Linked DNA regions of Oryzias latipes. The protein of the gene in region 1 binds, or shares a complex with, the protein of each later gene. Links are inferred from orthologs where the notes say so. Each region holds a gene or a part of one and is shown in the gene's direction. Other genes may lie near its edges.

Evidence for each region. The genes of interacting proteins can lie anywhere in the genome.
Region 2: polr1b (region 1) and taf1a share a complex: the UniProt entries of both Homo sapiens proteins name them as parts of the pol I pre-initiation complex. The link is inferred for Oryzias latipes from reciprocal best matches to the Homo sapiens genes POLR1B and TAF1A.
Region 3: the proteins of polr1b (region 1) and polr2k are in contact, whole or in part, in a cryo-EM structure (PDB 7OBA), measured with the Homo sapiens proteins. The link is inferred for Oryzias latipes from reciprocal best matches to the Homo sapiens genes POLR1B and POLR2K. Residues at the interface, in NP_061887.2 of Homo sapiens: Val87, Ile92, Cys93, Lys94, Glu95, Val98, Ala101, Glu102, Gly105, Arg106, His159, His160, Gln704, Asp705, Val793, Phe794, Gln805, Asp808, Asp809, Asp810, Leu812, Pro813, Phe814, Ile815, Gly816, Ala817, Lys818, Leu831, Val848, Asn851; in NP_005025.1 of Homo sapiens: Met15, Tyr17, Gly20, Glu21, Ser30, Arg31, Asp32, Pro33, Ile34, Arg35, Cys39, Gly40, Tyr41, Arg42, Ile43, Met44, Tyr45, Lys46, Lys47, Arg48, Arg51, Val53, Val54, Phe55.

Annotation. Positions count from the first base shown.
Region 1 is NC_019873.2:3,647,116-3,649,671, reverse strand, and holds part of polr1b (DNA-directed RNA polymerase I subunit RPA2), read left to right. Parts: intron 1-577; coding exon 578-752; intron 753-827; coding exon 828-1,109; intron 1,110-1,190; coding exon 1,191-1,324; intron 1,325-1,391; coding exon 1,392-1,562; intron 1,563-1,662; coding exon 1,663-1,819; intron 1,820-1,912; coding exon 1,913-2,109; intron 2,110-2,556. UniProt on the Homo sapiens protein: Catalytic core component of RNA polymerase I (Pol I), a DNA-dependent RNA polymerase which synthesizes ribosomal RNA precursors using the four ribonucleoside triphosphates as substrates.
Region 2 is NC_019882.2:5,958,043-5,961,798, forward strand, and holds the start of taf1a (TATA box-binding protein-associated factor RNA polymerase I subunit A), read left to right. Parts: upstream 1-890; 5' UTR 891-1,132; intron 1,133-2,744; 5' UTR 2,745-2,772; coding exon 2,773-2,911; intron 2,912-3,210; coding exon 3,211-3,374; intron 3,375-3,446; coding exon 3,447-3,560; intron 3,561-3,641; coding exon 3,642-3,756. UniProt on the Homo sapiens protein: Component of the transcription factor SL1/TIF-IB complex, which is involved in the assembly of the PIC (pre-initiation complex) during RNA polymerase I-dependent transcription.
Region 3 is NC_019869.2:7,013,814-7,017,569, forward strand, and holds the start of polr2k (DNA-directed RNA polymerases I, II, and III subunit RPABC4), read left to right. Parts: upstream 1-1,349; 5' UTR 1,350-1,463; intron 1,464-2,528; 5' UTR 2,529-2,606; intron 2,607-2,689; exon of another isoform or gene 2,690-3,169; intron 3,170-3,473; exon of another isoform or gene 3,474-3,579; intron 3,580-3,756. UniProt on the Homo sapiens protein: DNA-dependent RNA polymerase catalyzes the transcription of DNA into RNA using the four ribonucleoside triphosphates as substrates.

The DNA of each region.
Region 1 (2,556 bases):
GACCACACCCTTACCACTGAAAGCAGGCTTGGGAGAATCTGTCAATCAAATGCTTCGACCGTTCAATGTGGAACCACCCACTCTTATTAAGTCATGTGATTGGTCAGTTTATAACTTGAAAAAGTTGCGCTACAACAAAAATATGGGAAAAAAATAGGATTGTCAAGAAAATGTTTTAAAAAAAATTTTACAGACAAAGAAGGATTATTTGGACCAACAGAATGACTGAGTAACAGCTTTTCATTTTAGATTCTTGGAGTCAGAAGCTACTTCCTGTTTGGAACGCCAGGGGGAGGGGCCACTCAGTCTAGTTCTCTAATTGGCTACAGACCTTGTCAATGAATCTCCTCTGTGTTGTGTCTTCTGGACAGAAAGTGTTCAGTTTTGCCAAATTTTCATAAATATTTAATCGCGATCAGATCTTTGTTTTTATTCTGAAATCCTGGTCTCTCTTTTTTTCTATTTTTAGAGCGTATCCCCCCGGGATACATGAGGGAAGGCTGTACTGTAAATGTTATGACCTTGACTTTTAAATCTTAAAGTTCTAGTTTCATGTTCCTCGTCTTTAACACTGCAGGAGAGAATGACTGCATGGCTGGTGTCTGTGAAGCTGTCCTTTGACAAAAGAGGATCCAAAGTGTTTGCAAGGGGATGGAGCACAGAAAATGTCATAAAGATGCTGAACATGGGCTCTGATGTCACCAAACCTTTTGAATATCTCTTGGCTACTGGAAACCTAAATTCTAAGACGGGTGCATATCCACACTCTTTATATATATATTTTTAAACTTCAATAGTTGCTTTGTTCTAAATGTTTTCTTTCACAGGTCTCGGCATGCTGCAGAACTCGGGCCTCTGCGTTGTCGCTGACAAGCTGAACTTCATCCGCTACCTTTCTCACTTCCGCTGTGTGCACAGAGGAGCAGCGTTCGCCAAGATGAGGACCACCTCAGTCCGTAAGCTGCTGCCCGAGTCCTGGGGCTTCCTGTGTCCCGTCCACACTCCAGACGGAGAGCCTTGTGGACTCATGAACCACATGACTGCCAGCTGTGAGGTGGTGGCAGCATCCAGTCCCACCACGTCGCTGCCTGCACTGCTCTGTTCCCTCGGTAAGCTCCAAACATTTTTACAAAGTGCACATTGCTCCTCAGCGGCTGAAAATGGAAATGGTCCTGTTTTCGGTGTGTGAGGTGTTACTCCGGTGGATGGTACTCCTGCTCAGGCCTTCTCTGACTGCTACCCTGTGGTGTTGGATGGCTCTGTTGTTGGCTGGGTGGAGACCGACTTGGCTCCAGCTGTTGTTGATGCAATGCGGAGGTTCAAGGTACGAGAAGGATGTTAGACAAGTAGTGACCTTGGAAGCAGAAACCTGATGACTAACGTGTGTGCAGGTGCTGAGGGAGAGGAAGGTTCCTCCCTGGACTGAGATCGTCCTGGTTCCTAAAACTGGAAAAGCCAGCTTGTATCCAGGTCTGTTCCTCTTCACAACACCTTGCCGGATGATGCGGCCCGTTCAAAACCTGGCTCTTGGCAAACAGGAGTTCATTGGCACCTTTGAGCAGGTATATGTTTAGCTGGTGCACGTTGAAAGACATTCTTGCCATCGAGACGGTCATCGGAGGACAGCTGTCCAAGTAAAACGGGTTTACTTTTCTGCCGTAGCTTTACACCAATGTTGGAATTTTAGAAGAGGAGATTGAAGCAGGAGTTACCACACACCAGGAGCTCTTCCCTCACAGTATGCTGAGCGTGGTGGCAAACTTCATCCCTTTCTCAGACCACAACCAGAGTCCTAGAAACATGTACCAGTGTCAGATGGGTAAGTGGGTGGGATCAGAAATGTTCATTGAAGGCTAACACCAATTTGGAGTCCAAAGTCCTGAAATTGTTGACCCTAAACTGTTTGTTTCAGGTAAACAAACGATGGGCTTCCCTCTACACTCGTTTATGGATCGCTCGGACAATAAGCTGTACCGACTACAGACGCCACAGAGCGCCCTCGTCAGGCCCTACATGTACGATCACTACAATCTGGACAACTATCCAAGCGGCACAAACGCCATCGTCGCCGTCATATCCTACACCGGCTACGACATGGAAGATGCTATGGTGAATTCAACACAATAGTTTTTACATTTCTACAGATGGGATTTGATCATCTTTTGAGCTATTTTCAAAGCATTCCCAGTAGGGATGCTACTCCATTCTGATCATCCTCTTACAGATAGATCCATGAACGTCTTTATTTTCCTCGTCTGAGCTGGAATCTGGCTCTAAACTGTACGGCTGGATAGCTCTGATATTGGTCGACATTTTTGTTTCTCTGATAATGTTAGTTAGGGGTTGTGACGGGAATTGGTTTGCCTGAGATGGTGTAAACAAAGGCATGATGGGAAATGGAGGAAGGGTCACTCTATGCCAGCGGTCCCGCCCACAACTTCAGGGTGAATTTCTGATGAACTCCTGCTGGTCTTTGGTTTTTAGATTTAGGCTAAAAATGACTTCCTCCTAGTCTGAAGACCACCTGGAATGCTTTGAAAATAGATGTTCAGAGTG
Region 2 (3,756 bases), on another chromosome or scaffold:
GTCAGCAGTTAAGATCCGGCTGGGTGGAGGCCCGGACGGGTTCGCATCGATGGATGAGGCGGATTCAGGTACCTGAGAATCAGCCTCAGGTCCACACCAGAATAAACACGAAGACTGGAAAGCACGACCTCATTCTCTAATGTGTTTGTGTGTGTGGCCACATTCAAATTACTCACTTAGCTCCAATAACAAACCACTGAACATTATTTTCTGAGCAAAAGTAACGCAATTACGAGGAAATAGTAAAATAACTCACTGAAAAACATTGTAGAAGACTTCCTTATATTGAAAGTAAAGATAAATAATTACTACTAGGTTTAAAAAATGACATGGTTAAAAATAAGCTTCATACCGTGACATTGTAAAAATATCAACTCAAAATAATTTTTACGTGTTCTATTAATATTAGTTTTATTTATTTTTTTTTAGAAAACTTACATGTATATGTTTCTTCAATTTCAAAATAATAAAAATTTCAGTAAAACAAAACATTGACTAAAATAAAAAATAGGTTTTGAGAGAATAAATAAATCTTGCTAACACTGTAGCTTTCTTACTTTGTGATTTAAAATGCATTTTTTGCTCTTAGCACAAGTAGTGGATACATTTACAAATACTGTCAACAAGTACACACTACTGTATTTCCGAAGAGAGAAGAGGGAAAAAGAGATCGAAGCCCATTTACTTCTTCAAAAAAAATATTTGGCAAATCTTTTTGCAGTAGTTACAATTTTGGCTCTTTCTTTGCCTTATATTTTAGTAAGTAGTTTATTATTATTGATTAAGTAAGGAACTCTGAGACCGTGAAAAGTCACGTGGAGGAAACCCCCTGCTCCGCCCCGCCTCCTTGGGTTGATTCAGCCAATAGCAAGACAGATTCACAATCTACTTCCTGAGCTGCACCGGAAGTGTGGTGGCTACAAACATCTCACATGTGTAGCAAGAATTACGTTTTTTTTTGTTATTTAAATCAGAAATATCAATTTAGTGCCAAGCATACTCTTTTATTTAGACACCATTTAGGTAAAACCTATTTCCGTAAGATAAGACCTTAATTTCATCCTAATTTGACGCTTATTTTCGAGTAGGGTAACTTCAACACAGTGAGCCTCAGTGGGGCTAGTCTGGCCAGGTAAGCAAATCAAATGTCAGCTACTAGTTCAGGGCTCGACATAGCCATTTGTCCGCTGGCCCGGTCCTGTTTTTCGAGCAGTGCGGACCACAAGACTTTACTTTTCACTTGTCCGCTCGGGCCACTAAAATATCTAACTGTTTATATATTCTTCACCTTTTTCAATAAAGTAAATTTTGCGAAAACGTGTAGATTTACCTCGTCTTCATAATTTAGTTTTTCTGCTAGTCCTGTGTTCAGACTTCAAAGGTTTCTATGGGAAACCTTTGATCACTTCTCCTTCTCTCCCGCCTGCGCGCGCGCGGCTTTCACTGCGGAGCACCACGCGGCACGCGCTCACTACTTTTTTTTTCAAACTTTATTGAATGTAACAATTCAATACAAAACAATGTTAAACAGCAACAACGAAGGCACAAGCCAGTGGGTTATTATTACATTTGATTATAAATCCGACACCGTCACTGAAGAGAGACTGAAGCATGTCAGAGATGTGGAAGACATGGCAGGAATAGATAGGAATATGTTAGATGGAGTAATGGGTGGAATTAGTACTATGGACAGCAAGATATTTAATGAATGCATTGAAGATGAAACTGTATGCACTAAGCTTTAAGCTGAATGTCAAAGAATCAAAGGCAACTCCAAATACCTGAATCTCAGACTCAAATGCAGTAGAATGTTAAACTACTTAATTTTACTTAAAGTAGAAATACTTACTGTAAGCAGTAAGTATTTCTAGTTAGCTGAATGATCTCAGTTAGACCTGCACAATATGAGGAAAACTCGCGATATGCGATATCAGAGATTAAAATTGCGATAACGATATAATTTGCGGTATATAAACAAACAGAAAAATAACCAAATAACCATTCCCAGTTTAAAAATTATACTCCAAATGACCCACGTTGACATAGGTTACAAACATCTAACATAACAGGGCTCCATCTGATTGGTCAACAATGTGAAGGCGTCCATCCGATTGGTCAAATGCATTAAGGGATTTACTTGATTCGTTAAATGGTTCAAGCTGCCATTAGATTGTTTTAACACATTTAAGGTTTATGATTTATTGTGATATTTGCCGTTAGAAGCACCATGAAAACTTCTGAACTAGTGTTACCTACTACACTGCAGTGCTCTCTTCAAAACATCTGAAACAGACTAGAGCAGATTTAAGTTTGATATGGTCTATTTTCAGTCATTGAAAAGTGTAGAAATAAGTGATGTCACCAGAATGCACCAAATTGCACCATATTAAAAGTTTCCGGGGGGGCATGCCCCCGGACCCCCCTAAAGTTGCAAGCACCTGCGGAGCGGCGGGTCCCGCTATGCGCGGTGTCGGGCCAGTAACTTTCAGGCAGGGCCAGTAAGTTTCAAAAACTACTGGCCCTGTGGGCCAGTGCAAATTTCTGGGCTATGTCAACCCCTGTAGTTATGATTGTGTTGTACACCTAAAAATCTGCAGACAGTTGGTCATAAGTGACACGTTATTTAGTTCTAGAAGAGCATCTTTGTGATTTTTAAAATGTTCATAAAACAGAAAAATTGTAATGTCAAAGGACCTGTTTGCTACTTTTTGCTTTACTGTCTCTCATTGTTTTTCTCCTCGTAGGTTGAAGAGCCATAACTTTTAGCCAAACATGGACGACCTGGAGAAAGAACTGAACCCTCGTGAAGACATGGAGAATGATGATGATGATGCTGATGACTCCTGTGACAACAGCTCTAGAAAAGAAGGAAGCTCATTCAAGTTAGATTTGATCCAACCAATTTGTCAAAGTAAGACACACTTTATATTCCATAAAAGTGCGTTTTCCCCTCTAATTCTCTTTAAAAAAATATGGGTTTATGAGCATATGTCAGATAACACCATACAGATTGTCATTAAAACGGTATTTTTTAAGTAAACATCTTCAGAAATCACTGAAAAGATTATACTTATCATGAAAACATATGTCATCTACATTTTATTGCAATAATAAACAAACCCTAATTGGCTGAATTATTCTACATTAGCCAAAAAATGATATTTTTGTTTGGAACTCATTAATTTGTAAGTTTTACTTAAATAATTTCAGAGACTCTGCACGAAAATGGATTTCACCAGAGCGTCAGACTGTGCCTGGAGTACATCAGAGAAGCCATGCTTCATCACAGGTGGCTGGAGGCAGCAGAGTACATGGCCAGCTATGCACAAATATTAGAGGACAGAGTTAATCTCACAGCACAGCAATACAAAGAGGCAAGTTTGCTTTTGCGTCTTCACCAAATGTGTGTATCTTAAAAAGAAGGTAAATTTAATATCTTCTTGTAGCTTGTTTGGAGAATCAGCACTGAGATCCTTCACCATCATCCCAAATCTACGATGGATGACTACAATGTCATATATGAACGGATGAAGCATTCAGGATTTAAACATTATCTAAAGGTGTGTTAAAACGAGCCCTTGTCCTCTTTTGAACATAATTTTTCCTCTAAATTCTGCAATTTTCTTCTTCTTTTTTTTTAGATTTCTCTGGAACATTCATTCCACTTAATGCTTCATGGTCAGATAGAAGCTGCTAAACAGAAACTGTCTGAAGCTGAAAGCTGGAGGCATGGGAAGGAGACCACATCCCAGTATC
Region 3 (3,756 bases), on another chromosome or scaffold:
CAATTTGTTTACTCAGTACTTTCACATCTCTTTGTGCCAAATGATTCAATGCATCATCTCTCACCACCAAATCAGCCCAATTTCAAAGTATTTAGAGATGCAAATACTTTGCTAAATCTTTTAGATTTCTCCTGCATTTCTATGATTTGAACCTTTTCAGTCTGAGTGTACAAAGTGAGACATGAACTCATGAGCTTCTGCACGGGTCCAGAATCCACCACTCCACCTCTCCCATCCCTTCCCAAGACTGACGACCTGCCTCACCTTGGACCTTCTTCTCCCATGAAAGCTGGTGGGAGTCTTCCTCTTTCTTCATCCAAAGTCAGTCAGTGGGTCGTTCTGTGTTTTTCCAGGTTTCTGCTGGTGAACAATGACAGAGGTTAGATCTGCCGCAGAAACACCAGCAGGTTCATCATCACAGCATCATCGGAGAAATCTCCTCTCAGCTTCTTCACTCCTGGTACTTTGCTGGATCTCATTTCCATTTAAATCTCTGCACACATTTTAGTTTTCTGTGGAAACAATATTCCTATTATTAAAAATGTTCTGATTCAAAAGAAGTTTATTCTTGATATTTTCTTTTCAATTCTACTTTTATTGCAAATAAACGTTCCCTGTAAAAACAAAATCATCTCCGCCTGCAAACTTTGTATTAAATATGTTCTTTCCTTTTCCTTTTTCACTAAAACACACGTAACAACGTGAGTTCACTTCTTCACAAATACATTAATCTCTTTTAGACACTTGAAATAATGCAAACTATTTATTTGTCTTAAAATAATGGAAAACCGGCAGTTATTTGAAGGAATTGGAACGAATCCGGCTCTCTGATTGGACACAGCAAAGTTTGATACTAGAAATTGGAACAATTCTGGCCATTTGATTGATTGAGAAGTTGGAACACTCTGATCAGGCCCGTCGGAGGAAGACTTCCTCTCGCCGTGCAGAAGCTCCCGAGTTCGCGGCCCGCTGTGCGCGGTTGCAGCATAAAGATCCTCTGCTGCTGATTCTTCTAAAGAAACAAACAACTGGAAGGGATTCACTTCTTCTCTCAACAGAAAGAACCTGTAAATGGATGAAAACCATGAACGCGTGAGGTCATCGATTGATCGATTCACAGACATTCATTAAAGGTGGAAATCAATGTTTTTACTGTGTTTGTCTTTAAAAACCTCATTTCTTAGTTTATTGTTTTATTTATTTAAGTAATGATTTTATAGTGTGTGTGTGTGTGTGGGGGGGGTCCATTTATAGATAAACAAAATCCTACTTGTGCTTTCTTTATTGTTTTTTAAATTCCTAAACTTTTTCAAGAGAGATTTTCTTTTTCGGACGTTCCCTGAATGTCTCGGACTAGTCACCTACTGGACTCCAGCGTGAAAGGTTCGGATCAGAACCGCTCTGGGTTCGGCTTTTGTGCTTCCGTGTCCTACTTCTCCCGAACAACCTGAGTCCAAACGACGGTGAGGAGCAGAATTCTGCTTTCTGAGCTTCACACATGCGACAATCATGAGAAGACGAGCAGCTCATGCGTGGCGGTTAAGATCAAAGAAATTGTTCAAAGCTTTTAGGGAAACGAAAGACGACGGCCGCCGTGTTTGCTCAATTAGTTCACTTTCTGGAGTGATTTAAGTCGATATTACGAGATTATAACTACTGCTTTCGTGAGATAACGGAATAGATGTGTTGCTCGTCTTGTCGAAAACACAGTTTAATGATGTGTTATTAGTAGAAAACAAAAACAAATTTAATTGTTGCTAACGTTCAAAGCTCTAATCTAAATAAATGGCGGATTTGAAAGTAGTTTCTGGCCCGCTAATTTCACCAAATTTCCATTCCGTTCCAGTAAATAACGTTAAACTTCTTATTTATTGCTGACTGTGGGTGTTTGTCGTCAATTTCTCTGCATTTGGACGGCCAGAAAGCGCGTAGAAAAGGTCCAGTTATTTGATCATTTGATCACTGTTTTTTTAGGACTACGGCAGTTGTCCTAAAGCGAGGTGATAAGGACACGTCTACAACTTGGGTGACTCCAACACGCTGGTTCACTCTAAGAAAAGCAGTAATAAAGTAATAGTATGGATTTATGTGGAGTTTGTTTGAACAATAGTGAGTACTTGTAATGTTTTAGAGGTTATTTATGTTGACTTACTGAGAAACTGCTATTGTTTGTCTGGGGTGTTTTGGTGTACTTTATTGACGGTCCCCGTCTGCCTCTGTAGCTTCACATCGAAGTAAACTCAGGCTGTGACTCGTTTTCTGCTTCACCACAGACACAAATAAAAAGTTTACACTAGTCAATAGAACTATATCCAACGTCATGTTTGTGGATAAAGTTAGTATGAAAAAAACAAAGCAGACCGGTGACCGGATGTGTCTGTGACACGAACACATTCTCAACTTCTAATTGCAGCTCATCTTATATGTTTGATGAGCAAATGAAGTTATTTGCCTTTATAGTTCTTGAAATACTGGAACAAAATTCCACAGAATAAATATAATGAAGATCCACCGTTTCTTTATTTTAGTTGAATGCAACGCTTCCATGTAATGAATCTCCAGGTGGAGCGGTGAAACAGCGGCACCATGTGGCAGATCTACAGCAGGTATTTTCTGCATTAAACATGACTGTATCTTTGTGTTTAGAAACAGGATTTTTGAAGTAGAATTTTACCTCACAGATGCTCACAATGTATTTAAAGAATTTCAGAGGCAGCATATTGGAGAAAAAGCAGGAAATGGTCAGAATTTAGTTCAACCAGGAGCCGACAGGCTCTCAACAGGGAAGCAAGCCACTCAGGATCGTCTCCGCACCAATGAAAGTGTATAATCCTGGTCTTTGATGGGTTCTTCTTATTGAATTTAGGTCCATGTGAGTTCTGTTCGTCCTGTTGCTGGAAGCAGAAGCACAGACTCTCGTCTCTGAGCTGATCTTTCTGCAGCGAGTCGTCGCTTTGGCTTCCTGCTTGAAGGCAGCAGCAGAATGACGTCAGTCTGACGCGATCAGACCAGTTTTCTCTTTCTCCACACAGATCCTTGTCTGAAAGAGTCTCCACCCCTGTGTGTGTAACCATCAGCACATGGGGGTTGGTTGGAGCTGCGGTGGGGGTTGGTAAAGGTCCTCCTGGAGGGGTGTTGACTCGACCTTTTGTTCTGGCGCTTCCGGGAAACCAGTCGCACTCGTCTGACGTGACAAAACCCCCCTTCTTTTCCCAGAATCCTTCCAAGAAGTCTCTCACAAAGTCAGAAAAAATGTAATTTTAATCTGATTTAAGCATTTAAGTCAAACTTTGAATGGAGATGGTGAACCTGAGACGATCCTGTGTCATGGGAGAAACAGAGGATCTTTTTTGGTGTTTTGTCTTAATTGTGGTTCCCTTTAAAGTCCACTGTGTTCCCTCAGATCACACCTCATGCTTGAGAAGAGTAGCAGAGGGGAGGGTTTAAAAAGCACTCCGAGACATTGGCTCATTGCACTAGTTCTCTAGTGCATATACTAAAATTGGAACGATACAGAGAAGATTAGCATGGCCCCTGCGCAAGGATGACACGCAAATTCGTGAAGCGTTCCTCATTTTCTCTTTTAAAAAACAATTTCACCTAACTTTGTGTCATTGTTTTAATAAAAATAGCCCTTAATATGAACCATCCAGCTAATATATGACAATTTTTAATAGAGTTCATAGCAAAAGTTTCAGGAAAACTCACAGCAGACAAAATTATAGATGTAAATTAAAGCCGTACGTGGCATTGTAG